4 linked regions of the Drosophila melanogaster genome follow. The gene in region 2 interacts genetically with the main gene of each other region. Each region holds a gene or a part of one and is shown on either strand. Other genes may lie near its edges.

Region 1 (4,695 bases), on a different chromosome or scaffold from region 2:
ACAAACAGAAAATGCAAGCCCAAATTCGTCACGTTTTTTTTTTGGGGATTTCATTTTGAGACGCGAAATTAAAGAGCGAAACAGTAACGCCACAAATTTCTCAACTTATAACACAAATTGTCTGGCGGCGTGGCAAAATCAACAAACATTTCACCCAGGATGCGTAACGAAAATTCAATTAAAAATGCTAATGTATCTGAAGAGGATGGTAGGTGAAGGGGGGGGGGGGAAGGGTTCCTACAAAATCGGAGACCCGAAGGTCTGGGGCCTGGACTCACATTGCATTGGCCGGACCATAAAAATATAAATCTTTAATGAGCGAAACCCATATAGCATGTGCATATATATAAGACCGCAAAGTAAACATATGCATATGCCGGAAAATACAATATTATGTATAATGTGGGTTCTGGCTCGGAAATACAATGGTGCGCACTGTGTGGTCTTGCATTTAGTTATCAAATTGCTGGAATTTGCATAAAAATCAATAAACTCTGCACAAATAACCCGGCTGGCAGTTCAATTAAATATTCAAGTGATTTTCTGTGACAATACCGAATCGGTTTTCGTCAACTTGGGTGATTTATCTCAGCCCAACAAGGCTCCATTTAAGACCCGGTTGACAGCTCTTGTTAAAGACATTGAGGGACATTGAGATAAAAGGAGCAGAAACGCAGCAGGGAAGCTGACAAATTGACGGCCCATGGCCCACACACAAATGGAGGAGCTCCGGGTTCCCAAAAAAACAAATTCATTGTCGATAAATTGCTGCCAGACCTGTGAAATTTACGCACATTCATGGGGGAGGCAGAAATTATTAATGGTGGCGAAAGACCAAAATACCAAACCAAAGTCTCTTTGTCGCGCTGTCTTATTTGTACAATAATATTTAATTGCAAGATTTGCACAAGAAAATTTATTAAAGGCAATGGGATGAGCAGAATGTGGGTGTGTCGGCATAAACAATCCAGATCCAATGTTTTCGTATCTGTATCGCCAACCGTATATGGCTTTCGGACTTTTTTGGGGATTTAAAAGCATTCGCCAAATATGGCAAATTGAATGATGTGCGAGGGAAAAGCCACATTCACAATCATCGATTATGACAATTTTATTTGCCCAGCTTTTGTGGTTTTTTATTGTTTGCGAATTGGATACAATGCGTAATCTTACATTACATTATATTGATCGTCGTTCTCGGAGTCGCTGAAATAGGCCTGATATTCATAATAAAGAAACATATCAATTTACAATGATTATTATCATGTGAAATGTTTAATATACGTTTTAAATGGTTCTAGTTTTATTATTCAAGGTAATTTATCTGACCATGATGAGTACAAACACTCTAGTATCTTTAGGACACATTTTTTTTTTATTTCAGTGTAGCCTACTAACCGGATTTTCTCTCCCTCAATAAGCAATTGCGGTTAAGATAATGTTAAGGTGCCATATGGCAATATGTGTCGTAAGAAAAGCAAACAATGCATTCAATTCAAAAATTAGCAGACTTTAGAAATTTAAATTCCATTCGATAATAAGTGTTATCTGATGGCAAAAAAAAAGAAAATAAAAGTCAACGTAGTATATAATATCCCAGAAAAGCTGAAAAGCCAATACGAAATACAAGCTCATTTAAATGGCGCACAAACAAAACGAAAAGCCAACAGTGAATCCAAAGTCAAATGAAGGAAAACGAAATTATGAATATCCATGCGAAACAATGCGAGTTGTCAAAAGAAAACTCAATGGAAAAGAAAGGGGAAAACCCACTTGAAATGCATTTCCCTGGAGAAGTCTTTACTCCCCTCCCTTGTGATGTGCTTGTACATTTTATTGGTGTTTTTTTTTTTTTTGTGAGAGTCGAGAAGCATTAAATGTTTTTCTTTATTTTTAGACACTAAATGGCCAATGCCAAAACACACATGACGTATGCGTAATATGGAAATACCTCTGGCGCACACAACCGTTTCGCTTTCCTTGACATCCAACAAAATTGTTACTTGTACATCACAGATTCAAATGGGCTTTACGATCAGACTGGATTGCACAAGCAAACTAGTTGTATATTTCTTAATGGCCTGCAGTTTGTTTACAAATTGGCGACAATAAAAACTATTAAGACAATTCGAAAGGCCAGAAGAAAACTCGGGGCGCTCCAAAAGATCAGGGAAGGCAGATGCACAGCTAGGCAAATAAAAACAAATTATAAATAAACGCCAATAAATAGAAATGAGCGTTTCGTTGGAAAACTGTGTCGCTGTGTCACGTCGGCACATTTCCCACTGCGCGTTTTAAATAGCCCCAAAATAAAATACACAACGCGTCTGTGTCGCGCGTTTTGCATACCTTCAATTTCAATTTCAATCTTCTAAATGCCAAACAACTCTAAAACTAAAACTAAAATAAAATAAAAACAAACATGGCTGTGTACTTTGGCTTTTGAGTTGCAACTTGTTTTTGAGGTGGAAATTTGCACCTCAGGGGAAAATGCATCAAAGAAGAGAAAAGTTTAAAAATCAATTGATAAGAGAAAATTAATTTTAAAATATTTCTAGCTAAAAACTCCACAAAAGCTATTTTGAATCTGCTCTTTGAGCTGAAACTTTTTTTTGCCTTTCAAACATATATGAAAATTCTGTTTGCGGAAAAATAAGCAAACCATTTTATTCCGGCTATTTAACTTCTGACACAACACTTGGCAATGCGGAAATTTTTAAAATAAATTAACACAATTAAGCATTCAAGTACTCAATTCTTAAATTACCAAAAATTAGCAAAATAAGCCTAGTTTGTTACCTTTAAGCTGCAACCTATTTTGTGTGTAAAACTAGCACTTCAGGCTTTTAAACACTTGAACCCGAGGGCACAAAAATCGGGAAAAACAATTGAATGTATTTTCACCGGCACTCGCACTCGCACTCGCACTCGATTCGACTCGTCAGCACTTTATACTACTTGGTACTATATATCTCGTACGATGTCGCGATTTTTCCGTCGCCGATTTTGTGGCGTTCTAGCTCGCTGCGCTTGCGGTTCTGCACTGGATCGTCAAGTCAACCGATTCGACTGTTTTCTTCACTCAAGTTGTTCGGGAAGTGAGAGATCGGATCGATCGATCGTTTGAGTCGAATCCACTCGTGTCTTTATAACTTGAGTGTTTCTTGCGGCAGTCGGGCGATCAAAAGCGCCATAAATTCGCCCCAAATGAGTGGAAAGTGGAGGAGAGTCGATTGCATTTTTCTTTGCGTTTATTTTGTTACCTTGGCAGCTTTATTAATTGCGTGCAGGGGCCTGGTTTATGCTCTCGGCCATATAATAGCATACAATATGCATAGTTGTAGTTACTTGGCGCCATGGCCAAAAAGAGATCGCCACACGAAACGGCAGAGAATAGCGCATCTGTCAGGCCGCAAATCAACTAATAATTCAGCTATGCCCAGTCGTAAACTCGCCAGAGATCCAACTTCCTCTTCCTCTGACCATGTGGCGCACACACGTGCTGTTGCTCCGGTCATGCTTCATATCATACTCCATGCTCCACCTACAGCACGTTGCCATAATCTGCATACCCGACCCGGTAACGCCACCGCACTACAGATCTACACGGCGAGAAACGGTTGGGGATACTTAACGTTGCACTACTGATGGCTTAAGAATATTATAATAATATTACAAAATTATAAGATTTAATATAATAGGGTTTTACAATTGTGATCAGTATAGTGGTCTGTGCCAATGTTGAAACTTATTTAAATCGTTTTCTTCCTGTGCACTTATACACCAGACACCACTGTCAATCGATGAACCCGCTTCAGGGCACTACGAATGCGTCACAGTGCATATTTTAAGTCCGCTGATATAACCGAGATGCAGTTCCCTAGACGGTGGGTACTCAGGCGGAACACGTAGCAGCTTCCAAGAATGCTGGCTATGTGGGGGTGTGACGTCTCATTCTGATAGTCACTCTTATTCTCGGTCCAGATACATCTCAGATACCTATATATATTTATGTTCATTGAGAGATTTCTCGCACTCTGTTTGTTTGGGGCTTTCTGTCAACAGGACGGTCTTTCATCGGCGGCAATTGCGACAATTCTTCGAGCTGCGTCATGGTTGTTATGGTTTTCCATTTGGTTTTATTTTGATTTATTCATTCTCTGCCAATGCAACACAAAATTAAGCCCATGTGTTTACTTGTGATTTATCAACTGTTTAAATATGGCTTTGGGTCTGGGAGAGATGATTAACAAGGGTAATCGGTTGGCGATTTGCATATATAAATGTAATAACCATGAGCAACGATGTAAAATTAATAAAATGCGAATTAGTCAAATATTTGAGGGCTGGGCATTGTTGCTGTTGCATATTTAATAGTGATTTGCATGCGCCATTAATAACTATAAGGTATTTTCATGAAATGTTCCTGCCTGACTAATGATCGAGGATTCTTGGAATTCGTCTGGCAAATCAAAAGAAAATTTCCATGGCCAGATTCGTGATCGGAATGAGGGCAAAAACAACCAATGAATTTGGCACTTATCCAATGGATTAATAAGCATCGCCCCTTGATTTCCGCAGAAAATAAAATGAGAAAAAATGGAAGTAAAGAGCTCATCGGTATATTGTAATTTATAGAATTTCAATCAGACAGTGAAAAACATATTGTGATTGCCTCGGTGTCTTTATTCCCAA
Region 2 (4,680 bases):
TTGAGTACGGCCCGAGGGCGATAAGATATGGTGGCGATCGGCGGGAGTTATGTTGGGAGCTACCAAATGCATAGTTCGGGCATGAGTGGCCAAGTGTTACTAGAACTTGACCTTAGTGATAGCCACATATCACACGCCGGGTTGGGCAAGCAGTGTCGAAACAGCCCAATCCGCAGTGCTGTTCAAGTTCACCTCCAAAGCGGAGTGCTCAATGGGTTAGGTCTGATTAATGGGCTCGGACCCGCTTCTGGTTGACCTTTCAATTAGCTGGGCTGCCAGTGGGATGCAATTGCAGATCAATGAACTATCGCTGCTGCCTTTGTTGCTGCATGTCGCTTGCAACACTTACGATTAATTAATTAATTAATTAGCTCTCGGCACATACATTTCTTTCTCTTGTTTGTTGTCGCTGTCGTCGCTGCGTATTCCGCTGTGGATGTGTTGTCGTTGCTTATAATTTATACTTTATAATTCACAGTCGCAATCCTTTTGTTTTGCTGTATTTTCGAGCTGTGAGTGTGTCTTTATGTCTGGCTGCACTAATTGCTCGCTGGCACTTCCATTTTCCCGCTCGTTTCCGCGTTAGAAACCAAAACTCAAAACCAAAAAACCAAAACCCAAAACTGAACTCATTCACTTTTCGAATAACTTTCTTCGCGACTATTTATATAGCACTAGACTCCAACTGCGATTCTTATTCTATCGTGGTGACTTTTTCGGTTTCTCGCCGCTAAACACATCCGCCCTGGGCTGCGCGCAAAATTCAACTGATCTTCAGAGCTCGCTGCCGCACGACGACGACTGGCGATCGTGAGTGGAGCTTTCGAAGAGGGAAGCCGAAAGCTTTTGCGACTAACAGAGGCGCTGGCGATGCTTGCTTGTGGAGATGGAGATGGAGATTTCGTAGCGGGGGACAGCCGAAACCTGTTGCCAATAATCGAAGTTGTTCCTTCCGCGCCCCGCACCCCTTTCCGCTGGAGAGGAGGCGTATGAGTAATGCGCTTCTTGGAATCACCCGCACATGTGTCATACGCCGCTGGTCCAGCAAACAGCAACCGCTGCGGCCACCGAAACACTCGCCCTCGGTGGCACTTTACAGCTTATCCGAAGCTTAGCACATTACTCTCCCCGCTTCCCTTAGGCAAACGCTTACAACTCAGCGGATCTGGTTTCTTGAAATTCACATACGAATTCGAGTGAACTTCCGATCTGCCACACCTCGCCGCTAACCGAAAAGATTTTATGAATGAATCTGCGGTCTGGATTCCCCTGGTCAAACGGTTTCTCAATGGGCGTATGAGTAATGCGTAATTTCATGAGTGATAATCGGAAAGTGTATGTTTCACCGAAAATAAGAATATAGAAGTGTAAAAAGATAGGATAAGTGCCTATTACTAGCTGTGCTTGATAACGGTGCATCTACGCCTATTTGCCTTCATAAATCGTGTAGATTAACACATTCGCCTTTACAGCAGCCTGATTAGCACCTCATCTCTCGCGGACCCGTGCTAATAAGCTATTCATCTGGGTATCTTCTTCTGCGAATCGATAATATATTCGCCCTACGTCGGCACCACCCCATTAATATCAATTGAGTGCAATTTGGGGTGACTCAGCGGCCACGTGAATCAAATTGCCACCTAGCGCAAACAAATCCAGTAATCGGCCTGAGCAATTGGCTAGCAGCCCAAGCCCAAGCCAAAGGTTCAGCTGGGATGTAGCTGGAGAACGAAAAGCGAATCCGACAGCCACATAATGGGCGACATTCTGCTTTCACGACAGTTCCTGATGCGCTTTATGGAGCTGGCACATCCAACGCGACAGAACAGAACTTGGCAGAACAAAGCGGGGGCTGTGAGACAAATCGGATGCTGTTGCTGCCATTTATCCATGGACCAAGTGCATCTGGCTTGCTGTCAGCCCCTCTTTGCTTGCCCATCTGCTCTGGGCTGTGGGCCATGGGCCATGGGCTTGGGATCTGGTCTCTGGGCTCAGGGCTCCGTGGTCTCTTTCCATATATACACGAATGTATTCCTCTGTTATGGCAGTGGACAAGTTGACTTGTCGTCGCCGCCTGCTGTGCGATGCATTTTGCCCTGCTCCTCTGCCATCGGCACAATGAAATATTTATGAGTTTCTACTGCCTTTAAAGACAACTATTTATAGTATTTTTAGTCCATGCCCCATCCCGATGCGATGCAGTGCGCTGGCACTAAGGTTGGTTGCCTGCGCCGGCAGTGAAATTAACTTTTCCACGCCGCTTCGAATCAAGCGATTTCGCATTGACTTTTGCCTTTGAACTGTGCCAACTGGCCGAGCAGAACATATAATTGTCATACAGATGGAGCAGATAATGCTAATTGCATATGAATATAGTATTGTATATTATTTGAATAGAGTGCGCGGCTCTGACTTTGAGTGCGAAAAACTATTTCTAAACTCAATCACGTCACGGTCAGGCATCGATAGTATGTATGAAGTATCTGATGTGCCTATAATTATATGTATTCATGTATCGGAATGTTACAAAGCTCCTATGTGCCGACTGTTTGGGCAGCCTCTGTGATCCGCCCGCAATGTCAAATGCGAAGTCCGAGCAAAGATCGCTCTTGGCCCATTGATGCCCGTCGAGAAAGTGGAATTCCCTGGCGGACATGAGTCATCCTGGTATATCAACTTACCATACGGCAGACAGACGAATTGAGCAAACAGAATTTGCATAAACCAATTTGTGAAATAATCAGCTCGGTGCCCGTGCTCCTTCAGCAAATATTGCACAAAGCGACTTTTGTTTTCTTTAGTTTCTTCACAGGGCTGTTTCGAACTTATCGGGCTTATCTGCGACCGATGGCGATTAGATCTTGGTGGTTAGATAAGGCGGGCAAAGTCACTATATAGTCACTATCACTTGGGCGAATTTGGCTACGGCAGGGCACTATCCACACTCTACACTCATGTCCAGGGGGCTAGCACAGCTCCCAGTTTCCAAGCTAAGACTACTTGTTCCGCGAGAAGCGATAGCGACCGATTCACAGCGGGTTCCGATTGCTACTCGTTTGGCTTTTCTGTTGCTGTTTCAGTTCCAGCTCTCTGCCATTCCGCCTTCAGCAAAATAATGTTCGCGTCGTCGTCTTCGCCACCCCTACTTTTGTATTTCCATGGGGCTTGCGAGTGTGTGCGGGTCTAATGGCTAAGACCTGGGTCTGTCCGTGTTCGCTTCTAGTTTACGAGTCACGCGAATAACCACCGACACACCACCGCTCACACACACAGTCGTCCATAGGTGGAATCCTAGTTCTGGTGGTTGAAAATAGCTGGTCGCCCCCTGTTCCTTCGTCCCTTGCATGTGATTGTGGAGCAACAGGATTAGGAAGGAACTAGCTCTCTGTTGGCTTTAACTAGCCAGACTAGCAGACTGTGTACTACCCATGGCGATCGATTGGATATTATTTAACATAATATAACATTCCCTTAATGAAACCCTATTTGATATTGCGTGCATTTTTAAAAAACCAGCACTTATTTCTGGCGAGCAACATGGGGCTGGGGTAAAGCTCGTTCGGCTAGGACTCACCTTCACTGTTAACGCACTGTAAGCCAGAAGTTAGCAAGCTTTTGGCTAGCTGTTAGATCCACTGATGATTCACCTGAGGGCGCAGCTTTCTCTCGCTCTCAGTCTAAATTGGGTTTTTCACTCTGGGTGGAAAGCTTTTCACGCAGCGGAAGCACAAACTAATTTGTTTAACACTCGCTAATTTGCTTAGCTATACTATATCTTATGGAGATTTGCCTTCCGCAGCAAGCTGCCGTAACTGCAAGTTCGAGTGCGTTTTTGAGGCTCGCTAGTGCGCTAGACTGAGACTCGGGACGCTCCGCTTAGATTCTTTTATATGGCCGGGAGCAAGGCGATCCGATAGCGTTCCGTTCCGAGATCCGAAACGCCAGTCATTCAGCTCGGCTTGATGCCCGCGTCCTTCCCTGTCAGCACCCCTTTCGCAGTGCTAGGGGAGCTTCCTCGTTTCGTTTCGATAACGGGATAGTTACGCATCAATCCCGGCTTCTTGAGCGGATGAGTCATGTCAGACCGATCCTGAGAGTTCCGAGCATTGGTGCACGTGGCACCAATGTGGCATAGGTTATTGAGTCGCCTTCCACCGATTTTTCGGCTGCAGAACAGGCTGATTCATTTCGATTCACTCTGCTTCGACTTCGGTCGCTGTGATGCTAAATTTCGCTTTATATTGTTCTTATATTTTGATTTATACGCAATCAAACGTGCTGGAATGCCGTCCTCTTGGCTTCTTCCTCAAACGGCCACCTCCTCACCGACTCCCCACCAGGAGATTCGCGGGGAGAAGTGAGGGTGATGTCTTCTTTTGTATTGCAATTAAATATTTTGATATGGCTGTCGCACAGGCGAATAAACTAAGGATTTTAGATACAAAAGAGCAATTCAAATCGAGCAGGAAGTCTGAGTGATTGTTTGATTAACCGCACTGATTGATGGGGCCACTCCTTTTGGGTATCTCAAAAGAAATCCTTCTACTGGTGTCTTTGTTTGATTGCTTACATTGCTAACAAGCAAAAAGACAATCATCGATTTTACTTGAGTATTCTTAGTATTTTAACATATTTTAATTTACTTTTAAAGAGAAGAGATACAACTCCTCTGCTCCCGGG
Region 3 (6,722 bases), on a different chromosome or scaffold from region 2:
TTTTCAGCTGGTTACGATGCTGTCGCGATTGCCCTGTACCGCCAAGCTGTCTATATTCCACCCAACCCACCCAGAGAAAAGTCCAATAATAGTGGTGGTTGCTGCTTTGTTTTGTGCAGTGCCTCAGACAAAAAAGTGCCAATTGTTTTTGGGCCGAGAGTTATTGACACGCCTCGACGGTGAGCGCTTCACAGTTGGCCGCTTAAACAAGTGGGCGTGAAGGAATCCCATTAAGGACGATCGCCACCCTTCCGAAACGGCAGACAATCCTGGCCATCGTCATCCATTCATCCCCGCGGCGTGTCGGCAATTTAAACTAATAATCAACGCATCAGCAAACATTGTCGTTATATTCACAGAAGCCTGTGGCGTTTGGCGGTGACTCCTTACAGATTGCAAGCTATGATTTTCACTCACATGCAAACCAGGTCTCTATAGGGTTCTTCAATCCTAAAACTATTGTTACAATTTTGCCATAAATCCCAATGCCATGCTTTATTCAAGTACACTGTTTAAAAATCGTGGAATTTCACACTATTTTTAATTCGATTTCTGCTCTTTCATTTATCACATTAAAGTATAGTTTTACAATCATATATTACATAAAAGTGGACATGTTCTCGATGCCTTAACAAATCTAATGTACTTTAGATCTAATAAGCCATTTGTTTGGGTTCCAGAAATTGATAACAAAGATTGTGAAATCCTTAAATTAGGTATGAATAAAACCATTTAAAATGTGTTTTAAGCTGATTCAAAGCTGATTAATTCAAAGATTTATCGAAAGAATTGAGTTATTCATATAACAACATATCAATAAAAATATTAAGTGCAGTTTAAGTAATATGTACGAATTCAAATGATGTTGTGAATTTTAATAAAATGTCAAAAAATATATATAAAATATATATATATAAATTATAAGAGACTACTAAGTGTTATTTCTTAGCTAAGATTTTTTAAAATTTCTTTGATTTAAAATGTCTATTGCTTTTCGAGGCCGGACTTAACTTCATTATTTGTCAAAAAATGTCAGTAAATTGAGATTTTGAATGTAGTTTTAAAATTAATCATCTAAAATAGTGAAGCAGCACTAAATCAGAACCAAAAACATAATTATAGTAGCAACTAAAGACGTGCATTAATATTCGTCTAACACTAGGCTCTAACATTAGGACTTTTAACTTTTGGAGAGGAATGGTAAAGTTTACCATCCAAATTCCCTCTGTGGTGCTCATCCTAGACCACGTGTTCCGCGGATGAGGAGGTGCCGGCGCCGAAGCGCAATGGAGTCGGTCAAATGATGTTTGGCGGACTGGCCGCGCTGGCCACTACCGCATTTGGTGAGGACTTCTCTGACTTGACGCATCCGTAGGATGAGATGCCGGTACCGCTGCTGCTGGGCGGGGAGGGTGGAGTTTCCGGACTTATCAGCGGCAGATATCGCCACGGGTGGTAGATGGAGCCGGCGTACATCGCCTGGAGGCGCGCCTGTAGGTCCAGGGCCAACGTGGGATCCAGTGGATAGTGGGCGAGGCCGGGAAAGGCATTCGGCAGGCGGGGCAGCGATAACTCCAGTGGCGAACCAAAACCGTACTTGGCGCTCAAGGTGGCGGCGGCCAGCTGGACATGATGTGGATGAGGATGCGGGTGGTGTGGATGCGATTGATATGGTGACTGGTGCGGATGTCCGTGGAGATGTGGCAGCGACTGACCCAAGGGCGACAACTGGGGCTGCATATCCTTGGGGGAGCCAACTGATCCTGGGCCACTGGGACCGGAGTTACCCGCACCACCAGCGTTGACACCACCGTTGGCACCACCTCCACCGCCGCCACCACCACCACCTGGCACCGGTGACTTGTTGAGCGTCTTGGGCTTGCGACGTGGTCGATACTTGTAGTCGGGATGTTCTTTCATGTGCAGAGCCCTGTAAATTAAATAAATGTTGAAACACTGATCAAAAGATCGAACGATTTAAGCTTTGATGATATCATAAAGTCAGCCATCTCTGGTCGTAAACCCCAAGAGAAGCGGAACCCTTCCATAAACCCCACGCCAGGCAGATACAAAATGCACAAGTTTATATTGTGTATTTAGCGAAGAACCAGCACTCCGATTCCAACTTCGATTCTCTTTCCGATTTCCCAGCTGCAACAATGCGCAATTGTTGACATTTGTTTGACATAACGATAAAACCTGATAAAAGGTGTGTTTGGGTCGCCTCCTCTTGTTTTACTTTCGCTTTTCTTTATTTTGTTTTCCTTTCTTTGGTCAGTTATGGCCTCCTTATCGCGGGTCCCGAAAAAAAATATTGTTTTCCTTATCATCGCGCATTGGCAAATATTTGATCAGAATTTTTGGTTCTTTTCATTCGATATGCTCGCTCGAAAACCCCGAATGGCCATTAGTTTAAGCCCCTTCTGACGAGCCCTGATCATTTATAAATGTCATAAAATGTAAGTAAAATTTAACATTTCCATTTTGGCAGGCCAATCCAATCAATAAAAGGATTATGACAGTGCAAACACAGAGGTTCGTCATCATAAAAGACCGCACTATCTAGGAAGGCATAGAAAAAACGAACTTGTGAGATACGGCATTTCTGGGAATTCCTGTGGTTTAAAAGTGCACTGCAAATTTTGATTCCATTTATACCAATACAACTTATTTAAAAGCTAGTTTTATAAAAAATAAAATAATGTGAGATATCACTTTTGTACTTATTTGTAAAATGCTCGCTTTTGAGTATATTTCTTGTACAAAGAACTCCATTCTAGCGGTATTTTCAGTTAATCCCGATAATTACGTTTATTAAAACTAAGCTCAAACTGAAATTACTCAAACCCTTTCGAAAGGGTACACTGAATGGGTTAAGCACACAAAAAGAAGCAAAATGCAAAATGAATGGAGCATTTCATGCGACGTGTTGCCTCGCTTTTGTGTGACAACTTCAATTGAAATGTTTACCCAAGATATGGCAGTGCCAATGAAATTCTGACTAAGCAGAGCGGACACAATCCCCGACTCCAGAGCTCCGCAATTCAGCAGGAGCTCCTCACAATAGGTAGCCTTTGTCTTAGCTAATCGATCAAATTTTGTGGCCAGACGGCATCTAGTGAGAATGAGCTACCAACTGGGAAAATGGTAACCGAAACCAAGCCAGAATTTCCCATCCAACCTACACCACTCTGCTCCTGCATAAGCCGGCACAGAAAAAAAATGTATATCGTGTGGACTGAATAAAATTGAATAAACAAAGTAATTCTTATATCCAAGAATAGAAAGCGGAGGTAACTACAAAAAATACAAGAACTATGTTTTTCCTAGTTTAAATTAATATAGGATTACTGCAATATGATAATCTGTGATTTTTAACATCAATGGGATCCATATCTTTTTATTTTTTTTAAATATAACTTCGCCCTAATAAACCCTATTAATAATAGACTTGGAAAATTAACTTTTGAATTGAAAGGTAAGGACTTTTCCAGGTAAGAAAATACTCTTATTTCTGTTTACAAATTTAGTACATACATATTTTCTCAGTGCTTTTTAACCAGACCCCAGTGAACAATACTTACCGCAATCGTTTTGCCTCGTCGATGAATGGACGCTTCTGTCCTTCGGTGAGTAATTTCCACTCGGCGCCCAGGCGTTTTGATATTTCAGAATTGTGCATTTTTGGATTGTCCTGGGCCATTTTGCGACGCTGCCCCCGCGACCAGACCATGAAAGCGTTCATTGGTCGCTTAATGTGGTCGTGGCTGTTGTGATGGCTTCCAGTATTCGAATTCGAGTGGCTGGTCGGGGCATTATGGTGGGAGTTGCCATGGTGGTGCGTGTGCTGGTGCATTTTGGGTGCCACCGGAGTGGGGGCCGCTGGCGGAACGGCGAGGTCAGCTGGCGGCATCGGTGGTGGGGTGGTGTTTCCCGATCCAGAGCCTACTCCCACACTCATACCCATGCCCAAGCCACCGACCATGCCCAAACCCAAATTGATGCCGGGCAACTGCGGTGAGAGACTGCTGCTATGGCTGTGATTGCTACTCCCGCTGCTCGTGTAACCATTGCTGTGGCTGTGGCTCCGATGGAGCAGGGCCGAGATGCTCGTCATGATGCCGGGCGCGGAGTCAAGGGACTCCAATGGGGGTGCAGGTGGTAATTATCAGGTGGTAGTGCTGCAGCTGCTCCTCGAGCTCTGAAATGCCAACGGAAATGGTATTCAATAGATATGCCTTGTTAGCTTGGGGACTCTGTCTGCTGCTCCCTGCATGAGTCATTTGATTGGAGCTCTTCGCACTGCGAATAGCTTACCAAAAATATGCACAATGGAACTCCATTTACCCCTTCTAATGTGTGTGTACAGGGGGCTCAAAATGGTGTCCCGGTTTTATGACAAACCAATTTAAATATTTACCAGTAATTCAAATCAGTTTTCAGTATTGAGTATTTGCAAAATTGGGGATTTCCCTTAAATTAATATTATCCAAAATATATTCCTTGAAGAACGTATATTTGCATATTAACAGTACTGCCAAATTCGATTTCAAATGATGAATTAATTAAAGATTGGATTGGAAAATGATATATTTTTTAAAACAGGCTTTTCTAACATTGAAAATTGCAAATATTCATAAAATTCATTATATATTTCATATCCTTATAAATCTTTTGGTTTCTTTTTTAAGAAAATATATTTGTTCGCTTATTTCGCTTTTTTAAAGTGTTTAGTTTTTGGGGAGGAGTGTGCAATAGTTTAATTTAGAGCACAGCTTTTTCTTCATTTCATATTTAAATATTCGAATTGTTTACCTAGGGACCTTTTCTCATCATCATAATTAGCTTACCTGTATTAATTGTCTTTTAATTTCTCCCTAATAAAGTTTAAATTTGGATTCCATCCGATGCGTGACACTTAACTATCTAATTAATTGCACAAGAGTTTACGTTGCGATCGAGTTCTTTTTGTTTATTAATATTACTAGGTTAATTATTGTTGATCGCCATTAGAACTCCTAAAAATACACAAGTGCACTGATATGAATTTTTAACTTATTTTCCAAACAGTTCGAGATTTATAGAGCCTCGAATTTACGAACGTTGAAAGTATTTAAACCGTTAGACTGCCGATTCACCGTTAGCCGAGCGCAGCGCGTCCGTTTCGAGTGCGCGACAATTTAGATTTGAAAACACATTCGAAAACTTGCGACAAAAACGGCAAACAAACGCAACAAAAAGGGGCAAGAGGAAGAACGTGGGTGTTTGTAAGTATGAGGGTGTCTCTGTAGTGGTTGGTCGCTGCTGCGTCGCTGCCGCCCAAAAGGACCGAGTGGGAGCGAGACAAGGCGAGAGATAGTGCAAGGGAGAAGGGTCGCGCAAGTAAGAGAGAGAGAGAGAGAGAGAGAGCGCGCACATTTTGTAGAGTTTTTTACACCTTCGGAGGACGCGTCAACGTGGCGGCTAAGTGATAAAAATTCGCTGCTGCTGCTTTGTATCTTTGTATCTGCGTTTTGTATCTTATTGACAATAGTCTCCGGGTTTGTTTTCGTTTTGTGTGCACGTTTGCATTCTTGTTTACCAAACATTGCTCCTTTTGCTCTTCGCCAGTTGATGATATCTGCATTTTTTATCAAAACCGTAACACAAAAATAATTTTGAAAATTTGAATAGCCCAATAACATATTTCATATTAAGCTACCAATATCAATTTTTATTGTAAATATAAATAGTTTTCTTTGAAAAATTCAAGAAAATTCCGGCTAGTTCTGAGAATTTCGCTGCTATATTTATTTACAAAATATTAAATCATAAATTGGTACGTTTATAAAACACTTTATTATTCAGTTCTGTTTTTCTTCTATGCATTTGTGATCCAAATAAAAGGCATAGTTAAACTACTTTATAGCTCTTCTTAACTATGGAATGAGAACCCATTTTTAAGATGTCAAAAAAATGCCTTGATTAGTTTATTTAAATGGAATACAAAACGGAGTGGCAACAATCAATCGAATGAAAAATACACTTTAGCTTTTGAATCTTATACTACAATTAACCAAATATTGGATACTTACTTATATGCATGGTCTACACTATATGGTTATGGCACTATAATTTCTTACTGTGTATTAGACCGGTGTTTGCTCTCACAATCGATCGGTGGCTTATTTGGTATGTTTGCTGCAAGCTTCGGTATCCGCAAGATTGGCCCTTTTTGTTGGCAGGGTTGGGCCGCTTATTTCAATTGCTCTCCTTGTTTGTCACACACAGGAAATTCTCAATTCTTGTTGTTGCTGTACCAATAACGATTTCTGTATAATTGCAACGATTAGAAGCCCTTGATCCCTTAATAGTACCACCTTTATACATTTGCTAAAATTTCTTATAAATGCCGCTCTTTATAATTGACGGTTTCAATGTTCCGCCAACGGAGCTTCTCCCTTGACGAATACTAAGAAATTAGACAATTTTCCCGGTGTTTACAGTGTAATGTCAATAGAAAAGTGTGTAATATGCTAGGTATAGTACATCCGGAACAATAATTTCCCGATCACAATTAATTTTAATTAAATATGCTTTTGCAATAATATTTAACGATTATTGGGACTATTAGCAACATTTCCACAGTATATACTAAATCTTCAAATTAATTTGACCTAGAAAGTAACAAAAACAACATTTTAAAGATAAATGAATCGTCGCAGTGCTTTTTATTTTAAATT
Region 4 (3,435 bases), on a different chromosome or scaffold from region 2:
CGTAACAGAAAACAAAGCAAAGCTTTCTGGTTTAGAAGTTTTGTGGTTTTCTTTGCTTGCTAGCTGAAATTTCACGACGGTCAACAAAGGAGTGCGCTCCAAAATGTAGCTAGTAATTTTCATTTAATTCTCAGTGTGGGTTTCTTTGGCTGCAACAGTGGCAGGACCAAATTGCCACCGACTTGACCCTCAAAAGGGCACCCATTAAATGTCGCGACTGGTCGCGGTCATGAAGCGCCAGAAATTGGCTCTGTGCGGCGGTAATTAGCCCAGACCAGTTGGCCCTGATCGCGTGTATGGTGGTAGTACTTTAGGACGGGTCAACACTGGTCGTCGGTGACGTGCCATAAACCGCTGGCAACGAATCCGGTGTCAGAGGGCATGCACTTAAATTTACAACCCCTTTTAAACCCAAACCCTCCAATGCCAATGCGCTTTTAGTTTTAATTGCTGCTCAGGCTCTGGCCGATAGTGGCTACAAGGCGCTGAAATGACTTCCTGCATTAATCTCGACAGCAACAATATATCGGGCATACATTAAGTTAAGTTTATATTTTATACGGTAGCACTTAAAGGAGAATGTGTGAGCTAATTCGTAAATAAGAATGTGGTCTTGCAGGTTTCCTACTTGACCTTGTTCACAGGCAGGTACGTGGCACTAGGCGCTGCGGCTGGTGGTGGAATATATCCTGCCGAAGGAGCCTCCAGTTCGGCGCTTACACTTCCGCTGGAAGGCCGACGCTCATCAATCAGCTGCACCTGCTGCTGTTGCTGTTGCTGCTGCTGCTCTTGCTGTTGCTGCACTTTGGTGGCAAAGTCCAGGACTGGTGCCACGCCTCCGTTGTAGGAGGTGCTGGCTCCACCCAGACGCTCGTACTCCTGCTGAATGGTACGCTGGGCATTGATGGCGTCCTGCTGGGTGCGGTACTTGACGAAATGCACCTCCGGCTTGCTGGCGCTCACATGGTTCAGGTTCTGCAGCTGGTTGGCCAGGCTGGACAGATCACCCTGTTTGGTCAGGACATAGATGGCGGTCTGCTGCTCGGCAGCCTGCTTGGCCAAGGCCAGAGCGGCGTTCTCCAGACCCTTATTCTCGGGGGCCCTGATGAAAACCACACGGAGGTTCTTCTTCAGAGTAGCAGCCAGATCACTGACACTCTTATTATCCTCAAAATCGGCCTCGGGAGCGGAGTAGGTGAAGAACTCCTTGTTAAATTCGGTGTTTACAGGAGCGTAGTTAGTGGAATAAGATCCCCCGGACAGGGAACCACTAGAAAGGGAACCACCAGAAATGGAGCCACCTGAGATGGAGCCACCTGAGATGGAGCCACCTGAGATCGAGCCTCCAGAGATGGAGCCTCCAGACAGAGAGCCTCCCGAGATGGATCCGCCTGATCCAATGCCAGCTCCATAGTTATAGCCGCCTACATCAGCGCGAGCCACAGCCAAGACAGCAAAAATCTGGCAAAGAAAGCTCAGGTTAATCCAACTATTTCAAACTAATAATACCATTTAAACTTACAATAAATCCACGCATATTGATAGCCCTATCCTAGCCAATATTCGATCCAATCTGTTAACGTGTTGGGCACGCCGGGAGGTGTAAACTGTTAATGCTACAGCCCATCTTGTCGAGGGGCGTTTTTATAGCCCGACCCTAATCAGGTCCAATATAAGATGCAGATTTTCGTGATGAGACAGCGGGTGTAGCCCATGCCATTGATGCTAATCCAGCACAAATACCAATACCCGTTGCAGGTGACGCAAAGCCCTCAAAACTGTATCCGCCAGCATTTGTTTGCATAAATTCGAAAACGGTTTGCCAATTTCGTTGGCAATGAAATGCAAAAACAAACCACGACGGAACTGGATGTTGGTAGGCCAAACCAGAAATTATGGCCACTTAAGTGGAGCAATGCCATGCGATTTGCATAGCTGGTCGTATTTAATTAATTGCAGTACAGCCATATAGCTGGCGAAAAAAGGAAGAAAATAAATCAATTACAGTGTCCACAGAATTCTGCGAATGATTGGTCAAATTCAATATTAATTAATTCAGTCAATATATCTTTCCGGCAATTGCAAATTGGTAAACCGTGGCAGTGAATACTGGCTATGATGGATCACAAATCAATCGCTAATCGAGCTGCGACTCTCTGCCGACTGTCCACCGTATCTAGTTTATGATACATAATTTCGATTTCGTAAACACACTGACTAGCAACAAAAAACAAAAGGGGCGCAGACAAAAAACCTATTTATGCAAATTAACCCCATATCGCTTGTGGCATTTTTGTGTGGTTTAGGGATTTGTTTTATTGTGTTTTCAATTTGCATATTACTGGGCATTTATGATGGCATTCATAGTGGAATTTGATATGCTTGATTCATTCATCGATTGCCCAATTGAACTTAAGGTTAGAGCCATTCGTTGCATACTTATAGGGCTGCCAGCAGTGGCTGTCAAACTGTTACGCCGGTAATGAACTTAGCCCCAATGTCTGTTGGCCCTGTGGCGCTTGCCATCGAAATGCAATCAAGCTAATTACGGAAATATGCATTTTTCAAGCCAAACATGAACATGCAACTCCGTGATTGACGATAAATGCCCAATTAAGCCAATTACGAGCGGTTGGTAGCTGGCAGTCGCGTGCAACATGTGTGGCAGCCACAGGCTACCAACTGCTTTTGTAATAATTTGATTTAAACTAAATTTATCAAATTGTTTTTCCTAATTGAGTGGATTTAATGATGAGCGATCGTCTGTCGCTCCCTTAATGAACAATTTTCCGTTTGATTTGACCTCTAATTAGTTGGCCAGCTGAGGTGGAAATATTTGTTTGGCAGCAGGACACGCATGCAATTAATATAAATAGTTCCAGGGGCACTTAATGAAGTTTTCGCATTTGCATTGAAATGCAAAACAACTCGTTCCCTGTCGCTCTCACTGGCATTTGGCCCTGTTTTTTGGCCTGAAAGTAAGGAATCGCCGGATCCGGCGGAATGGAATGGGCCTGCTGCCACTTTATAGTGCATAAATTATTCAATGAACCGCATGCCAGGATGAGTCGGCGGCGACAAAAGAAGCTCCGCTGTCAGTTATAATTTCACACGCATAACAGTTGCCGTTGTCAGTTGTGGTGGTGGTGGTAGGAAAGGTAGCTAACGGTGCCAATGGAGTTTCCTGTCGACATACACTGCACAAATTATTTTAATTTGGCTAAAAGCGCAAGCAACAGCTTATGGGAGAAAGCTATAATCTTGTTGGCGAAATTGCTAAAAAAAAACGTCTTCATTGTCTGTATTTTGATTGGCATTGAGAAAACTGTGCGAACTTTTTTGTCAGTGTTCTGTTGCTGGCTAACCCAGTTTTAAACTTGTTTTTTTTCCAGCGCTCTTTTGTGCGCGCGCGCATTTAAGCCGTAAGTTAGACAC

Evidence for each region.
Region 1: of Mmp1 (region 2) and Timp, changing one suppresses a phenotype caused by changing the other (phenotypic suppression), as found in Drosophila melanogaster (one study listed by BioGRID).
Region 3: of Mmp1 (region 2) and Sox21a, changing one suppresses a phenotype caused by changing the other (phenotypic suppression), as found in Drosophila melanogaster (one study listed by BioGRID).
Region 4: of Mmp1 (region 2) and Tb, changing one suppresses a phenotype caused by changing the other (phenotypic suppression), as found in Drosophila melanogaster (one study listed by BioGRID).

Annotation. Positions count from the first base shown.
Region 1 is NT_033777.3:10,209,960-10,214,654, forward strand, and holds the start of Timp (tissue inhibitor of metalloproteases), read right to left. Parts: upstream 3,049-4,695; 5' UTR 2,800-3,048; intron 1-2,799. UniProt on the Drosophila melanogaster protein: Metalloproteinase inhibitor that acts on both matrix metalloproteinases Mmp1 and Mmp2 in vitro. Complexes with metalloproteinases and irreversibly inactivates them by binding to their catalytic zinc cofactor.
Region 2 is NT_033778.4:24,684,322-24,689,001, forward strand, and holds the start of Mmp1 (matrix metalloproteinase 1), read right to left. Parts: upstream 3,057-4,680; 5' UTR 2,682-3,056; intron 770-2,681; exon of another isoform or gene 386-769; intron 1-385.
Region 3 is NT_037436.4:14,102,958-14,109,679, forward strand, and holds Sox21a (Sox21a), read right to left. Parts: upstream 5,162-6,722; 5' UTR 4,851-5,161; intron 4,202-4,850; 5' UTR 4,118-4,201; coding exon 3,585-4,117; intron 1,931-3,584; coding exon 1,297-1,930; coding exon of another isoform or gene 1,240-1,296; 3' UTR 524-1,239; downstream 1-523.
Region 4 is NT_033777.3:26,654,631-26,658,065, reverse strand, and holds Tb (tubby), read right to left. Parts: upstream 1,627-3,435; 5' UTR 1,538-1,626; coding exon 1,523-1,537; intron 1,462-1,522; coding exon 625-1,461; 3' UTR 535-624; downstream 1-534.